Linked DNA regions of Mus musculus: all the other regions are reported to be linked to region 2. Evidence: microRNA targets listed by miRTarBase, many of them from high-throughput screens and not tested one by one. Region 2 holds a microRNA gene; each other region holds the end of a gene's coding sequence.

Evidence for each region. The annotated mature microRNA mmu-miR-124-3p reads UAAGGCACGCGGUGAAUGCC and lies in region 2 at 2,600-2,619, shown strand. An mRNA with a match to its seed (bases 2 to 7 or 8) in the 3' UTR can be bound and repressed. Matches are read on the target gene's strand: a 7mer-m8 pairs with bases 2 to 8, a 7mer-A1 pairs with bases 2 to 7 and ends in A, and an 8mer does both.
Region 1: miRTarBase lists Irx3 as a target of mmu-miR-124-3p. The part of its 3' UTR that is shown has no 7-base or 8-base seed match.
Region 3: miRTarBase lists Leprotl1 as a target of mmu-miR-124-3p. The part of its 3' UTR that is shown has no 7-base or 8-base seed match.
Region 4: the mRNA of Traf6 is a reported target of mmu-miR-124-3p. Seed matches in the 3' UTR shown: 7mer-m8 at 543-549, 8mer at 849-856 and 7mer-m8 at 1,944-1,950.
Region 5: the mRNA of Cdh1 is a reported target of mmu-miR-124-3p. Seed matches in the 3' UTR shown: 7mer-m8 at 2,320-2,326.

What each region holds. Positions count from the first base shown.
Region 1 is chr8:91,796,080-91,799,079 of GRCm38, forward strand. It overlaps Irx3 (Iroquois related homeobox 3), which reads right to left. Exons shown (of 4, transcript NM_008393.3): 4 at 2,432-2,897. The coding sequence ends at 2,843. It overlaps Gm39222 (a long non-coding RNA gene), which reads right to left and starts at 1,664. Exons shown (of 3, transcript XR_879088.2): 1 at 964-1,664; 2 at 811-872.
Region 2 is chr14:64,588,110-64,592,408 of GRCm38, forward strand. It overlaps Mir124a-1 (microRNA 124a-1), which reads left to right and starts at 2,548; the gene lies at 2,548-2,632. It overlaps Mir124a-1hg (Mir124-1 host gene (non-protein coding)), which reads left to right and starts at 6. Exons shown (of 4, transcript NR_040709.1): 1 at 6-45; 2 at 668-858; 3 at 1,732-1,850; 4 at 2,164-4,299. Mir3078 (microRNA 3078) reads left to right here and starts at 3,076; the gene lies at 3,076-3,162.
Region 3 is chr8:34,135,279-34,138,278 of GRCm38, reverse strand. It overlaps Leprotl1 (leptin receptor overlapping transcript-like 1), which reads left to right. Exons shown (of 4, transcript NM_026609.2): 4 at 441-2,707. The coding sequence ends at 557. Among named protein-coding and RNA genes, the nearest start is that of Leprotl1, 10 kb to the left of the region's middle.
Region 4 is chr2:101,697,004-101,700,003 of GRCm38, forward strand. Traf6 (TNF receptor-associated factor 6) reads left to right here. Exons shown (of 7, transcript NM_001303273.1): 7 at 1-3,000. The coding sequence ends at 496. Among named protein-coding and RNA genes, the nearest start is that of Traf6, 20 kb to the left of the region's middle.
Region 5 is chr8:106,668,168-106,671,167 of GRCm38, reverse strand. Cdh1 (cadherin 1) reads right to left here. Exons shown (of 16, transcript NM_009864.3): 16 at 921-2,762. The coding sequence ends at 2,553. Among named protein-coding and RNA genes, the nearest start is that of Tango6, 13 kb to the left of the region's middle.

The DNA.
Region 1 (3,000 bases), not on the chromosome of region 2:
TGGAAGGTAATTTTATTCTCCTTGGGCTCTCTGGCCTTGGCAGGCACTGTCCCTTCCCAGTTCTGTGAAGATATTGGGGAAAGCAGTGTCTCCAACCTAGTGGATCCCACACATACTTTGGATGGCTCTGAGTAACCAGCCGGACAGCAAAGGCACTTCCTAGTGTCGAGCTGACATATTTCACCTCTGATTGGAGCAGCAGCAGGGACAAGACGTACACTACTTCTCACCCCCCCCCCACCACGTCTTCTAACTTTCCTTCTCCATTTTAGGAATCAATATTAAGGAATGGAGGGACTTCTTGGGACCCTTTCCTCTTTTGCTGGGAACCTGGGAGATTCTGTTTTGCTTTGGTTGAGTTGGTATACTGAGGTCAACTTGGGAACGGTGGTGTCTGAAGCACACACTGTATGAGATATGCCCAGGGTGGGGCTGGCTCCCCCATGCCTCCTCCTATTGCTGTACTTTCAAGATAGACAGTCTGGGCAGTTCCGGAAGCTTCACTGGAGAGAGACCCTATGTCCACCCATCTCTCTCCCACTGATGAAGTCCCTCTCTCTGGGGACCTCCTCCCAGAAGACTGTGCCTACCAACATCATTTTTCCCCTGGGTAGTTTCCTGTTTTCCTTGGTAAAGCTGGTTTCAGGGTCTCTTGAGCCACCTAAAGGAAAGGTCTCACATTTCTGGACAATGGGAAGGGGAGCGGCAGGTACCCCTGGGAACTGAGGATATTTAGTTTAAGCCTCTGCAAATGGCTGGACACCCCTACTTAAGAATGAGCACGGGCAGACCCCCCTCTCTCATCCTCACCTTGTGAAGCAGGCGGCTGGTGAAAAAGAACCCGAGGAAGTGAATTCTCTGCCCTTGGCTTCCTGGGAAGTAAATGGATAGTCAGTGTGGGTCAGGGCTAAGCCCAGGAGGTAGGAACTAAGATGCCCTTGTACAGATACTCATGGCACTAACCAGAGCCTTGACCCTTGTTCTGTGGTACTGACTTCACATGTATGACCTAAGAAGATGGAGCGTCAATGCTTCAACTGTGAAAGACCTTGAACCCCTGAAACACCTTTGCAAACAGAGAAAGGAAGTGTTTGCTTGAATATCAGTCCGTCCCCGTCCCCCCAACCCCCCGCTGTCACTGTCCTTTTCTTTGCTAGTGGTCTCCATTCTGAGGACTTTCGTTATGTGGGCACCGGTCTTCATACAACAGAGTCCCAGGTCGCCCGTGGCTCTGGCAGCTGTGTCCTCATCTCGTGGACCCGTACACTGCGGCGGCCCTCGCATACAGATCCACAATGTTGACTGTGCTGGATCCAGACTGGAAGCTGATCCAGGTTGTAAGCACTAGCTCTTTCTACCTTCCAACAGTGTGCAAGACCTTGCTCACGAGAGCCCTGCTCTGCAGCTCAGATGCACAGTGCATGGCTATCCCGGAAATTCCAAAGGGCCAGACAGGAGGGCCTCAAAGGCGCCCCCACTTCGAACCCCATCCAAGGCGTCACTACTCTGAATGTGATTCTCCACTTCTTAGAATCAAAGTTGGGCAAGCCAGGCAGGCAGTGTCCAGGCAGGCAAGGGACCAGGAGGGCTGCAGAGGCCGGGAAGGTCTGGCGCCGACCGTCCCCTTCGTCCTGTAGAGGGAGCTCAAGCCCCAGGTTTCCCCACTGTGGCGTCCACCCCCCACCCACCCGCCACCTTCGCCCCTCTCTTAACGGTCCCCCGGCTCACCCGACTTCTGACACGATCCCAGCTCCAAAGGTTCCCGGGCTGTACCCCGAACCCACGCGTGATTTCTAAAAGTACTCATAAGCACCTAGGGACCAAACGCCGCCTGGCTTCGGCCTTGGATTTCCAACACCAGCGCGGTCACACGCCACCAAGCGGGAAACGTGAACACCCCGGCTTCTCACGCAGATCCCCCACGCCCTTTGCACCTATAAGGAGCCGTTGGAGAGGGAACCACGGCGAGAAAGGCCTAGGCATTGAGCGTTTAAAGACAGCCCCTATACTCCAGGCTGAGAAACTTCAGTTGAGCGCAGTCAGAAGGGAGCAGGGAGGGCGAGTCTCCCAGCCCACGCCCTGAACTCCTGGAAGCTTCCCTAAGTCTTTCTGCTAAGTCATCAGAGGAGGCCCCAAGGCTCCATGGTTACTCCTGTGGACCCGTGGGCAGAGCCTAGTTTTCCAGCTCCTAGTAAGGAACCAACATCATTTTCTCCTTGGTCTTTGCCCTTTTTTCTCGGTCGCCCAGCGACTCTCATCACCCCTTCTTGGAGAGGCTTCTAAGCCTGGCTACCTAAGCCCGAACGACTTCTGCCATTGCTGTCCTCAGACCCAGCTCATCTTTTCCTGTAGATTCTTTAAACAACGGCCGGGGGTGGGGGGGAAGAAACACCAAAAACACCAAAGAACCATGCAGCAAACCGGTCCATGTGGCAGACCTGCCGGTTATAGTCAAAAGTGGCAACAGCTCATTTATTTAGCCAAAAAATAGATACTTTCTTGTACAATTTGGTTCACACGTATGTACATTTTCCCGTATATACAAAAAGAGTCAGACAGGCTTGTTCTCTCCGTAACCCCACTCCCCCCCCCCCCGAAATCAACACAACGAAGGAACCTCACAATCTAAATGTGGGGTGACTTGGGGGAGGGCCAAGGTGGGGGGACTGGCTTTCTTTCTTTCTTTTGTCCTTTCCTGTTGTTGTTGTTGTTGTTGTTGTTGTTTAGTGTTTCTTTTAAGGTAATCATACACAGACATGCTTGCAACTCGTCACTATACAGAGCGATTTTGTTTTGTTTTGTTTTTTACAATTAGTACAACGATTTAAAAATGGTTGAAAAGTTAAGACGAGGAGAGAGCTGATAAGACCAGAGCAGCGTCCAGATGGTTCTGTGGCCTGGAAGAGAACGGAAGCAGAGACAGTGAGCTTTAGAGTTGGGGAGACTGCTTAGATAGGGGATCCCCTATAAAGCCGGTGTTTAGCTGTGGGAGTATTAACT
Region 2 (4,299 bases):
ACCTCGGCCTCACCCAACGAGGACAGTGAAGGAGATCAGCTCTTGGTAAGACTAAAAGAAAAGGCACTAAATTCTCTGCGTCCCTCTCTCTGTCTTCCTCTCAATCCCCTCACCCCCTCCCCCTCTCTTCTCTCCTCACCCCCCCCCCTTTCTCCCCCATCCCCTGCAATCCGCACTCGACGCGAGTTCACGCGCAGGGCTGGATTTCCAAGCTGCACTGCAACTTCTCAGCGCGTTATTATTATTCATCTGAGGGTGCAGCCTCTGCAACCTTCGCCTCCTGCGCTAGCATCCTTCCCCCTCGACCGCGGCCACCAGCAGAGCGGTTTCTTCTGCACGCGTGCTCTGGTTCACCAGAGGAGGATTCTGGCTTTTTGCTTTTTTGTTTTGGTGGTTTGGTTCGGTTTGGGGTTTTTTTTTTTTTTTTTTTTTTTTTTTTTTTGGTTTTGTGTCTTAATTCTTTCAGGGTCATCGCCAGGATGCTTTTCCTCCGGCCAGGTGGAGCCAGCATCAGCGCCTGCCAGCAGCAATTCCCTTCAATAGCCGAGGAAGCACTTGGGGCTTGGCCAGGGAGGCCGCTCCTTGCTTGCGGGGCTGACTTTAGCCTCCACTACTCTCCCGCATCCATCTGCGTGTATATTATCCCCATCCCTTTTTATTCCAATAGATCCGCCTTTGGTTTGGACTGGCTGAAACGCGGCGGACTGCAACCAGGATCCTTTAAAGGAGAACAAAAAGATGAGGATATTGTGCGGGGGTTCCGGGACAAAGCGTCTTGGGACGCGCGGAACTCTGGCTCCCCGATTGGAGAGATCAACGCTGCCCAACAGTACCCGGCCGGACCTGCGGACCTCTGAGGTTATTCGGACTCAATTTTATTGATTTTTGTGGCATGCTTTAAAAGGGTCAGTGTTAGGTAAAGACTGTGTCCCCCAACCCTGTGGGGTGGGTGGGAAGCTGAACGGAACCGATCCAGTTAGATTTAACTTGTCCTCTATGCCCTCTACCTGGCTTTTTTGAGCCATTGGGAAGGAGAATGGGGAAGGCTTAGAAAAGAGAAAGGGGGGGGGGGGACGACTGCCTGAAAGGATAAGGCACTAGTAGGGAGTGGGATGGACCAGGTGAGGGAGGTCTGTGGGTTAGGAAGCACCTTCCTCACTCTGGTGCACTGGGTGGGTTTGTTCAGGGAATGGCAACGTGGGTGTCTGTTGAAAGCAGTCTTGTGAAATTGACATGTACATGCATAAGGTGACTGGACTTGTGTGTAAACAGAGTGATGGAGAGCAGAGAGGGAGGGGTCTTAAAATAATATTTTATTGTCCCTATGGATTTGGGGATCTCTCCCCCACCCCACCCAGCTACATTCTATAGGGGTGACCTTTTAAAATCTACACCCACCCTTTACCTCTGTAAAACCGGTTGACGGGTGGGGTGGGGGAACATGTAGGGGTGCGCGCTCTCTCTCTCTCTCTTTTCCCCCTCCCCCCTCCCAGTCTCCCTCCTCCCTCTGTCTCCCCCTCCCTCTCCCTTCACTCCTCCCTCTCTCGCTCTCCCTTCGCTCCCCCTCCTTCTCTGTCCCTCCCTGCTGCATTTTGCATGAGCTATCTAGGTCATTAGCATTTTAGCGTATGCAAGACTTGACAAGGCTGATGAGGGGCCAGATGGGCCTCGCTCTTATTTATTTATTTTTTTTTTCTTTTCCTTTTTCCCATCCACCACTTGGGACCTAAGCGAGAGGACCGCAGCAGGAGAGTTCCGGAAGGCTGATTCCCACAGATCCTGGTAAGGGACCGCAGCAGCTCTGCCCTGCGGCACGCCCGGCCAGGCTACACCCGGACCCTACACTCAAGGTAAAGGCGGCGGTCACAAGCCCTGCCCAGGCAGCAGTAGCTGGGCCCCTGCTTCCCATCCCTTTCCTCTCCGTCATCTCCCTCCTCCTGGCCCCCCTCAGTTTCCTAGGCGAAGCTGAGAGCGAACTGGGTGGGTAGGATTCGCTGCGGTGGGGCGAGGTGGGGTTGATGTTTTTTCATTGTCTGGAACTGCAGGGGAGGCGAAGCGCGAGGAGAGGAGTGAGGGAGTCGGGGTAATTAACACGGGGGAGGCACCCCTCCGTCTCCCACTTCCACCCACATCCCGAACCCTCCACCCCCCTCCCCTTTGCAGGAAAAAGCTTGGAAACGAAAGGATGCGGGAGAACAAAGAGCCTACGGAGGACGTGGCTGTTATCTCATTGTCTGTGACTGGGGGAGCTGCGGTAGGAAGGATGCGGTGGTCCTTAGCTCATCGCGTTCCCCAACCCCACACCCTCCCTGCTGTCAGTGCGCACGCACACGCACGCGTCGCCAGCTTTTTCTTTCTCATCTCTCATTTTTTTCATCTCATCTTCTCCCCATCCCCTCCCTTTCTTTCCACCTTTCCTTCCTTTCTTCCTCCCTTCCTTTCTCCCATCCTCCCTCTCTTCCATCCTTCCTTCCTTTCCATCCTTCCTTCTTTCTTTCCTTCCTTCCTTCTTTCTTTCCTTCCTTCCTTCTTCCTTCCTCAGGAGAAAGGCCTCTCTCTCCGTGTTCACAGCGGACCTTGATTTAAATGTCCATACAATTAAGGCACGCGGTGAATGCCAAGAATGGGGCTGTCTGAGCACCTTGGGTCCACGAGGGCCTGCCACGGAAGGATCGACCCAGCACAACGCCCTGGGCAGATCTCAGCGCTGCAGCTGCAGGCGCCCACAGTACGGGTAGCAGGCTTCTGAGTGCCTCGCAAAGTAGCCCTTAGGGTGGGGAGGTGTGCAGCTACCGACAGAGAGGGGTTTGTGCAGATGCAAATAGAATCTAGGAAGCAAACAACTCATTCTGTGACAGAAACACGGATCTATGCAAGCGGGGGGGTGGTGGTGGTGGTGGCGGCGGCGGCGGCGGCGGCAGAAAATAGCCTGGGGACGGCTGGAGAGTAAAATGTGCCCCTCAGCTCTGGGACCCTGCCCATTGTAGAAGGCCGACACCTTCATCCCTACCTGTCTTAGTTCCGGATTTCAATTTATTACCCTTAAACAAATAATAATAACCAAGTACCCATGCGACTGGCAGACTGCCCCAAAGCCTAGACTGCAGCTACCTTGTATTGTGCTTGGGGTTGCTGGGGTAGTCTTTAGGGGAAGCTGTTTGTCACCCGTTGGTGGAGAGCTGTGGGCATTTGACAAGCTTAAACAGATCTCTGGAGTGAGCGAAGGCGATCGGCAAATTTGTTCATGGACAGCGCACAGACTCCATCAAAACTGACAGCTAGCCCACTGCTCTAAAGCAGGGCCTCCCAGCCTCCTTGGGGCTGTGGCTGAAGTTTCAGGCAGAAATCCAGAAGCTACAGGAAAAGGAGGCGCAGCCCACCCCCAGCCCCCAGAGTGTGGGCCTCTCCCCATCGCTCTTAAAACCCCAAGACAGAAGGAAAATCAGCATGAGTAAGGTGGAGGCCTAAGGAAAGTCTGTTTTGAAGCAGGCTGTCCAGGAACAGAAAGGGTTAATCCTCCCTCATCCTGAAGCACCTGCTTCCCAAATCAGCCCCCAACAGCAGCAGCTGGTCCTGGAGGCCCCCGACACAGTTCCATCCCGTCTCCATCTCAGTGTTCCGCCAACCTGCAGTGGATGGATGATGGCCTGGTGGCCGACCTAAACTCATTAATTTTCAGGTGGAGTAAATGGAGGAGGGGCAGGACCCAGCAGCAGAGGGAGGGAAAGGAGGCCAAGAGCTGGCCTCCTCCCCCCCCCCACAACCCACCCCCAGGAAGCAGGCTGTAGCCCTCCCCCCTGCTGTCATGCCAGAGGCCTGCCTTTGCAAGGCCAAGCCCATGAAGGATGTTTAGGAGTTTAATCTGATTCCTAACACAGTAATCAGGGTCTAAAAGAGCATCCGTTGAAGTTAATGGAGGACTCTTGTCTCAAAAAGCCTCAGCCTCATCTAGTCTAGTAAATTAGTATTTGAGGGTATATCATAGATCAGTACCTCTCTGGCCTAGTTTCCTCAAGAGTATTCATTATTTCTTGAGTATCTACTATGTGTCCTTCTTTACGATGATTTCAACTTCTAAATTTCCTCACAGAAGAGAATGTTAGAGCTAGCCAGGCTGAGCTTCAATTTACCACATTCCACCTAGGCATTCCCAGAACCTTCTCCCGCTCTGCAGAAATAAGCCACCGCCTGCTTACTCTTGCAGGCAGAAAGCTGCAGTGCCCACACCCTGAGGGTGTCTCTGGCTGAGTCCTACCGGACAAGCCAGACTGCTTTCAAGGCAGAAAGGGAAAGACCCAG
Region 3 (3,000 bases), not on the chromosome of region 2:
TCCTCTGCCCCCGTCAGAGAAAGTACAAGTATGTCTCCCTCACTGGTACTTAGAGTTCAACTTCTGCTCCAAACAAGATTTTAGACTCCCTAAGCAAAACTTCCTTTGTAAGTAGTAATTACACAATCCCATGCGGTGCTGGCGACACGGGGCAGGGTGCATCCTAAACACACAGGACCCTGGGGTGGGACTGCAGAGAGAGCCGAAGCAAGCTACAGTGGCCGTTCTCGAAGGCGAGCTTGTTCCTGAGTGATTTATCACCTCCTACGATCAATCAATAGTAAATAAAAACACATACAGGGTGTGGAGTGTTGTGCTGTGAAGGTCACCCAAGCCACATTGCTTAGGATGGTGATTGACTGATGCACAGAGATGGATTTGCTGTTCCTCGTTGCCTTCACGTCGCGTGTCTGCTGAATGTGTCTCTCTTCCTGCCGTAGATCGAGTGGGGAGCTTGCGCACTTGTTCTCACGGGAAACACAGTCATCTTCGCGACTATTCTAGGCTTCTTCCTGGTCTTTGGAAGCAACGACGACTTCAGCTGGCAGCAGTGGTGAGGAGCTGCTGAACTGTAGTCACGTTGGACTTCTGTCGTCTGCCGGCCACCCGTGCACAGGAGAAGGGGCCGTGATGCTGAGCTGTTGGCGAGCCTCTGGGGTGTCCTAGTTGCTTCCTTCTCACTGTTGTTCGCCTCCTGTTTCCATGGGGACTTGCTGAAGATTAAAAGGATTTTCTCATTTGGAAAAGCTTGGCTGGTTTCCCACTTCTCTAGACTGCTTTCCATGGTGTCCTGCTGAATCTAAAATCCTTACATGTTTTCCCTGTTCAGTTGTTTTAAAATCAGTATGCAATGTTACCCATTTTTAAGATGTAATAGCCATTTGCATTGGTTTAGGAATTCAGAACTTCTGGCTGTATTATGGGCTAAAGTATATATTTTCTCTAAAAATCAGTTAATCTCCATTATTAAAAAAAAAAGTATACATGAGTAAGTTTTCATTCAGTCAGGATGACATCACTCCAGGTGAATGCAAACCTTCAGAGCGTTGACATACCTTATCTACTATTTACTCAGTGAAAGATAGCTGCATTTATACCTCAGGGGGGCCGACTGATACTGCCCATGCCCTCCAGAAGGGTTGCTGGTTTTACTAGTGGACAGGTGTTTTGTGAATTGAAAACTATTTTGTGGAATTGCTATAAAAGAGTGCTTTTCTCCTCAACTGTTAGAAGAATTTATGTTAGACTTTAAGGTACAAGTGTAAAAACAAGTTCCGGGATCCAGTTTCTATCCGTGTGTGTTATGGTCAAAGCAAGCGAGTAGCTGTGTGGGAAAAAGCAACATTGGCTTCCCACTGTCTGCGTGCCGTTTCCATCCTTAGTGACAGGTCTGAGCTCTGTCACCTCTCATGGTTTGGAGGGTGAAAGGGACATGCATGGGACAGTTGTGTGTTTGCAGTGTAGATATTCAAAAGCTTCCCTCTGCTTCCTCCTTTTAACTTATTTGTACATTGTATATATTAAGTAAAAGAACTTTTCAAATATAGTTTAATAACGTTTAGAAATGTTTGACTACTAGGAAACCAATTGCTATGCCATACATGCAGAGTGCCCCTCCCCCACAAGGCCTTGACATGATTCACAAGTGACTTGTTAGTCTTGCAGGTAATCCAGGAACGTGCAGTTGTAGGACTTAGACCACCGTAAGAGTAGTCTCCCAACCTTACAGCGTATGTACTTGAAAAGCACTTAAGGCAGGTTTGCTGTAAACCTCTCAGTTGTCGCGGTTTGGTTTCATCGTGATGGATCCGCTGTCGTGAGTAAGGTATTTATTGTATGAATTCATACAGAGTAGCCAAATCCAGCTGTGTCACCTCTTCAAACACAGCCCTGACCAAAATCTTCTCAGTGACCAGGCATGACCAAATCGTAGCGGTCATTGGCATCTTCAGTTCTCAGTCCTTTCCTTACCCAAGAGCTGATTTTGAAAATGTTCTCATTGATCCAGCAGTATTTTTTGTGAGGACACTTGTATGTCTCTCCAGTGTGCTTATATAAAAAGAAGTGTTCTGCCTTTAGCTGAAAAAATGAGTAACCATGACAACTGTCTTTTGTTGTTGTTTTTTTTCCTACAGTTTATTTCTCAAAAAAACAAAACAAAACAAAAAAAAAACCTGGAACATGCACCAAGTTTGTTCAGCTTTTACTAAAGATGTCTACAGCCGCGGTTTTTATTTTGTTTCTGTTTGCCCTGACCCATGTTTTATTACTATGGTGGTGAGGTGGGAAGCGTTATGAAATGTCCAAATGCGGCCATGCCATTTGTGGGTTAGACCAGCAGTGGCTTGTTGAGTAATGATGACAGAGACTCGCCGGCGGTGTGCGCATGGTCAGAACCCTCTCTGGGATCAAGAATGGAGCAGGAGGTTTTGTCTCTGGTCCTCCCTGCCCTCTGCTCCTTCACAAGCGAAGTGCTGAGCGCTTGGCCATAGACTCCTTTCTAACAGCTGCATATTCTTTCTGGGTACTAACTAATCTTAGCAGCAGCATTGCGTGTCTGACATGACACTGGCTTGCCAATCCCATCTCTGGTTTCTAGGCTAGCTACTTAAGAGTATTTTCATGAGTATGCGCCAACACATTGTCGTCCTACCGTGGAGAGAGAGAAAACTTTTGATGACAAAACAATAAAGATTTTAAATATCCATTTTAGCTTGTGGGTGTTTTCATAATAAAAGTTAAGCCGCTGAAGTGCACTAAGAAGGGGACACTGAGCTATGTGGTGACAAACGCCCTCGCCTCAGAACATGAGAAGCCGAGGCAAGAGGATCAAGAGTCTAAGCCTACTTGGGGCTGCATGAGACCCTGTCTAAAGAATCAAATCTAGGAAGATGCTAGAAAGCAAGCACACTAGCAAGTCAAGTCTGCAGGAGGAAAGAGAAACCATGGCAACAGTACAGCTCTGAGGCTCTGATCCTGAGTGGTGATGCACAGGCCTGA
Region 4 (3,000 bases), not on the chromosome of region 2:
CAACTTTGGGATGCACTTGAAATCCCAAGAAGAGGAAAGACCTGTTGTCATCCATAGCCCTGGATTCTACACAGGCAGACCTGGGTACAAGCTGTGCATGCGCCTGCATCTTCAGTTACCGACAGCTCAGCGCTGTGCAAACTATATATCCCTTTTTGTCCACACAATGCAAGGAGAATATGACAGCCACCTCCCCTGGCCCTTCCAGGGTACAATACGCCTTACAATTCTCGACCAGTCTGAAGCACTTATAAGGCAAAACCACGAAGAGGTCATGGACGCCAAACCAGAACTGCTTGCCTTTCAGCGACCCACAATCCCACGGAACCCCAAAGGTTTTGGCTATGTAACATTTATGCACCTGGAAGCCTTAAGACAGGGAACCTTCATTAAGGATGATACATTACTAGTGCGCTGTGAAGTCTCTACCCGCTTTGACATGGGTGGCCTTCGGAAGGAGGGTTTCCAGCCACGAAGTACTGATGCGGGGGTGTAGCGTCCATGTACTTGTGTTCAAAAACTAGGAACCATATGGGAAAACCGTGCCTTCCATGCCTGGCCCCAGTAAACAATGTTCAAACAAGCAGTGGGAGAGGTGTAAGGCCTAGCAGCAGATGTCATCAGTGAGGTCACGAGCCACTTCTTACTGTTAACAAATACCTGAGGCAGTTCCCATGGGAACCTACATGTCCCCTGTATCTTCAAAACGTCAACATTTGAAGGGCCTGTGGCTCATCTGTCTGTCAGGGTACCCCTTCACTGTGCTTCCATGGGCTATTTTGTCCGTGTACTTTACTGTAAAAAAGGCCAGACTTAGCGTGCTGCAGCTCAATCGTTTAATAAGACCGGTGCCTTAAAAACTTGAGGGGTTTTTAGGACACTGATTACTATATTAAACATGAAAATCACCACTGCCTGTGCTGGTGCCAGTAGAGAAGTTACCGCTCTGGTGTTGAGTTCTCATTTAGTTGACTCCTGTGAATTTCAGAGGCTTTGAACCATGATCCCTGGAAGGCTTAAGTTCTCAAGTACTCCCTCCTCTATAGTTCACTAAGGATCCAGGGACTGGTTTAACCCTTACTTAGTGTGAATGTATTGTCCACTGAACACCAAGCATCCCCCACTACTTTCCTGTTTTGAAATATGCTCCAGGCGGCCTCTTCCCAGTCTGTAAGACCGCGGTCATGTGCTTGCCAACTGCTGAGTGTTACTGCCATGGAACCTTTCTTGTCTGTCCCGTGCAGCTTGGTTTCCACAGCCGGTTGCATATCTTCTGTTGCTTGCAAACACAAAATCACCAGCCCAAACGAGTGATTTAGCTCACTAGCCATTAAATGGCATCTCGTGGATGATGACAGCAACTCTTACAGCCAGGAAACTTCAGCCCCTCTTAACTAGCTTTTGATTTAGCTTATAAGGTTAATTGAAATAAAATTGATTTTTCTCAAGGGGTTGGAGAATTGGCTCAGTGGTTAAGAGCCTTGGCTGCTCTTCCAGAGGATCCCCAGTCTGTAACTCCAGTTCCAGGGCATCTGACACCCTCATACAGACACTCATGCAGGCAAAACACCAGTGCACATAAAATTAAACAAACAAATAAATAAATAAATTGATTTCCTCAAAACAGAATTTATTGGAACTTGGGAAATTGTAGGTACCTGAGAGATGCCTAAACCAAGGTTGGCTATCACGGTTGTGTGGACACTCAGCTTGAGTGGTGGCTTTGTCCAGCTCAGTAGAGGTTCTGATCTGTGACCCTAATGTGGAGAGGTGACTGTCGTGCTGCTGTGTATTTGTTAATGTCCTGTACATATACAGTACTTTGGAGTCTAGTTCTCAGGGAGCCCTACGACTAGTTAGAGCCTTTGTAAGGAAGCAGAGGGGATCCTCTCCTGCTGTTTACACAAGATCAGCTATGTGTTCTGGTGGTAAGAAAGGCATCCGTGCCTTCAGCTGAATCAGAGACCCGAGCAGTGCTCTGACCTGCCCTGTTCCCAGAGAACGCTCAGAGCCTCCACCAAGGAGTCTGTTTCTCAGCTGTAGCCAGCCAGGGCCACTTTGACCTCTTCATTTTCCCCTGCTTCCATCCTTCCCCTATAAAGGTGAGGGGAAGACCTTGTCCCCTACCATTATCACAAGCTCATCACAGGTCTCTTCTGTTGGATCCAGGAAATGTGTGTCCCTTAGCTGTGCCTCCAGCAGCCCTGAGCTGCTTGTAGCAACTTCTGCCTAAGGAGCACTGCATGGTCTTATACTGTAGTTGTTTCCCAGTGGAGTAATAAATGTGGGCTTGTTTGTTGTTTCTTTAAAGCAAGCAGTAGCTGTGTCTATATTTATTTAGAAATTGCCTGAAGAAGATTACTCAACTATTTGAAGACTTATTTTCTATATGCCTTTCTTAATTTTTTTATGTTATATGTCACCACAAAAATATGAACTCCCCAACCCCCTCTCCGTTTTTTGAAAAAGGAAATGACATTTAAGAACTTCCTCATCAGATTTCTCTTTTTAAAATATCTGTATTAGGAAGAGCAGTCGTTTCCTGCCGTGGTTTTGACTTTTTTTAAAAAAAACTCTAACATCTTTTAAAGTTTTTTTGCATAAGTTAAACTGTTCCCAGCTTTAAATTGTCCTCCCTATAGGGCAAGTTGGACTAGGTGTTTCTAGTATCCGCATTGAGAAGCCCAGTGCTGAGCCACAATACTCACTAAAAGGCTTTCCCCGTAGAGGTGTGACTGCCCCTAACTGCTAACACGGATGGTTCACTGCAGTGTAATGTCCATCCGCTAGAATACACCTCAGGTAGTTTTAGAACTTGCAGCATTTGGTGTTTGTAATAAGCCAACCAGTTACTTTATGTTACTCAATTGCCACGAATGCAGAGTAAAACTAATCAAGCTGACATTCAAGGTCAACACTTAGTAAGGTCAACTCAGGATCAAGTCTTAGCCTAGAAAGCCGCTTTCTTTACTTCACCACTTTCTGAACATTCTCTTTGTA
Region 5 (3,000 bases), not on the chromosome of region 2:
GGGGATCTGATGCCTACTTCCGGCCTTCTCTCTACACACACATGGCATGCACCAGTCAGAAAAGAAAACTGCTCATGTAAGAAGAAAGTTATACTCCTATCACCATGGTTTTTCCACAGGAGTAAATTGATATTTCTTATTATGAGGACTACCCTGCGAGCTGACAGCAGCATCTGCTGGCTACTGTCGATTGGAAACTGTCAAATGGAAACTGTCAAATGTCATCTGGGTCAACTGACTCAGTCATATAATCCCAGGATCAGTTTCCAATGCCACAAAATGCATATGCATTAAAAGGGGGGGGGGGCAGAGAGGAAGGTTCTCTGGTTGAGTGCACACTGCCCTTACGGGACTCAAACTTCAGTTCCTAGCACACGCAGGGTGGCACATAACCACCCTCCTATAACTAGCTGAAGAGGATCTGACAACTGATCTCCATGGTCACTAGCACTCATGTGTACACACACGCTATCGTTATAATTTATGAAAGAGTACAAAGCACAAAGAAGCTGGGGGTGTTTCTCAAAGGCAGAACACTCACCTAGCACACGAAAGGTCCTAGGTTCAATCTGTACTATCACGGAGCAGGGAGGGGGCAGCGGAAAGGCACTGACAAACGTCGCTCGGGGGAGGCCAGTCTTCCTCTGCACAGAATCGCTGCCTCCATTACTGTTGGAAAATGTCTGCCGACAGCCTTGAAGCTCGCAGGTCCCCCATGCCCCAGTGGCCTTGGTACTTATTGCTCCCACCACACATCACATGGATGGGGCTCTGAGCAGTGACCCCGTGGAAGCATTTCCTCCCCATGCAGGACCCCCAAAGCATGGAGAAGACACATCAGCTGGAAGCTCCCATGATCTGAGTTCACCTCTGTCCTTTGGTCTAGGAATCCTGGCAGAGTCAAATCAAGTGAGCCTCACAACAGTTTAACAAAACTCTTTAATAAAATTCATAAAAATGCATCTTAGAGAACGGTTTCAATGGCTTACCTTTTCCACCCCCCACAAAATACAAAATTATCAGCACCCACACACATACACTCAAACTACATACAAAGGTCACTCTAGCAACATTACATGATTAAACTACAGAGAAATCAACAGTTCTCACAGTTGATTGTGGTCATCATTTTCTTCCAAAGTTAGGTAAGTACAGAACTTTCAATAAAATTCTTTCCAGTGGTTATCAAAAAGCTGAGATTTGCATTTTGAATGAAAACTCTCAAAGGTCTTGTCTCCTTTTTCCCGTTAGAATGTTCTCTTCCTGCTTCCTGAGAAAATGCACAATTTGTAATATTCTCAGTTTTCTCTTTTGGTTTGCAGAGACAGGGTTTCTCTGTGTAGCCCTGGCTGTCCTAGAATTCGCTTACTATACTATATATACCAGGTTGGCCTCGAACTCAGGGAGATCTGACTGCCTCTGCCTCCTGAGTGCTGGGCTTAAAGGTGCGCGCCGCCACACACAGCATAGTCTCAGTTTTCTACTCAGAACTGGGCAACTTGGGTTTAAATCGGCCAGCATTTTCTGTAGCTACCATCAAGAGCAGGCATTGGAGGGGTGCATTTCCTGGGCTTCAGGAATACATGGACAAAGATTCCAGCCAGAAAACATTGGTTGAGATAAGCCTAGTCTTCCAGAAATCTTGTGGGATAGGTCTCACCGCCTGTGTACCCTCACCATCGGTGTGCCAACTAGCCGGGTTCGCTGATGTTGCTGTCCCCAAGTTTGGTTTCTCTCCTTTTCTCTCCTCTGTCTTTGGTGGTGGCACTCCAGTCTCTCTCAGAGAACAACCATTCTTTAGTTTTGGTTTGAAAGAAACGCCAAGAAACTTAAGTGGTGCCCGAAAACCTCCCTGCAGGTTCTGATCAAAGCAACATATCCCACTATGGCATGCACCTAAGAATCAGGTGTGTACCTAAGAATCTGAGACGTGTGCAGCATGCATAGTGGTCCCTTTTTTTTGTTCTGCCCCAGACACATAGCCGAACAAGGAATGCCACTGTAAATGAGTTCTCTGGAGGTGGAGAGGGAATACCACGAAAGATCTTGGGAACACACACACTATCCAGCGCAGTTGCACCCACACCAAGATACCTGTCTCTCACCATAAAAGGGCCCAGGCATTTCTGCATCCTAGAATATCACCTGGGCAGGGCAACAGAATTCAGGAACATGAGTGACTATTAGAATACAGCAAACATGGTAATTGAGGGCAAGTACACAATGTAAAAAATTAGTGAGGTGTGAGGGGCTTGGGGCTGTTGTGTCTGGGGCAGATCATAGCTCAAAAGAACAAAAACAGAAACAAACAAACAAAAAAAGGCACAGTTTATATCTCAGCACTGTAAAAATAAAAAATAAAAAAAGATTTCAACAATCAGTGAAAACCATCCTAACACAGACAGTCCAGTAGGGAGAGTGAGACCACTATGCAATCTGCACACTTCTCAGATCAGTCTCTCTTCTACACACTCAGGGAAGGAGCTGAAAGACCACTGATATAATTATTCTGCATCTCCCATGGTGCCACACGGGGGAGACTTGCTAGTCCCCTAGTCGTCCTCACCACCGCCGTACATGTCCGCCAGCTTCTTGAATCGGTTGCCCCACTCGTTCAGATAATCGTAGTCCTGGTCCTGATCCGACTCAGAGGAGTTCAGTGAGCTCAGGCTAGCGGCTTCAGAACCACTGCCCTCGTAATCGAACACCAACAGAGAGTCGTAAGGGGGTGCCGTGGGGTCGCTGTCGGCTGCCTTCAGGTTCTAAAAGGAAGAGCACCGTACTTATCAGTATGCATCAGAGGCAAGCAACACCCCAAACATGAAAAACTAACCAAGGAGTAGTTAACCCCTTCAAGGTACACACACACACACACACACACACACACACACCAGCACAGAAGGCAAAGTCCCAAGGCCAGGCTGGACAGAGGGTAAGAGCAACGAGAGTCGTCATACTAAAACACGTAGGTTACAGTTCAGCCCAGAAAATCCTCGAAGG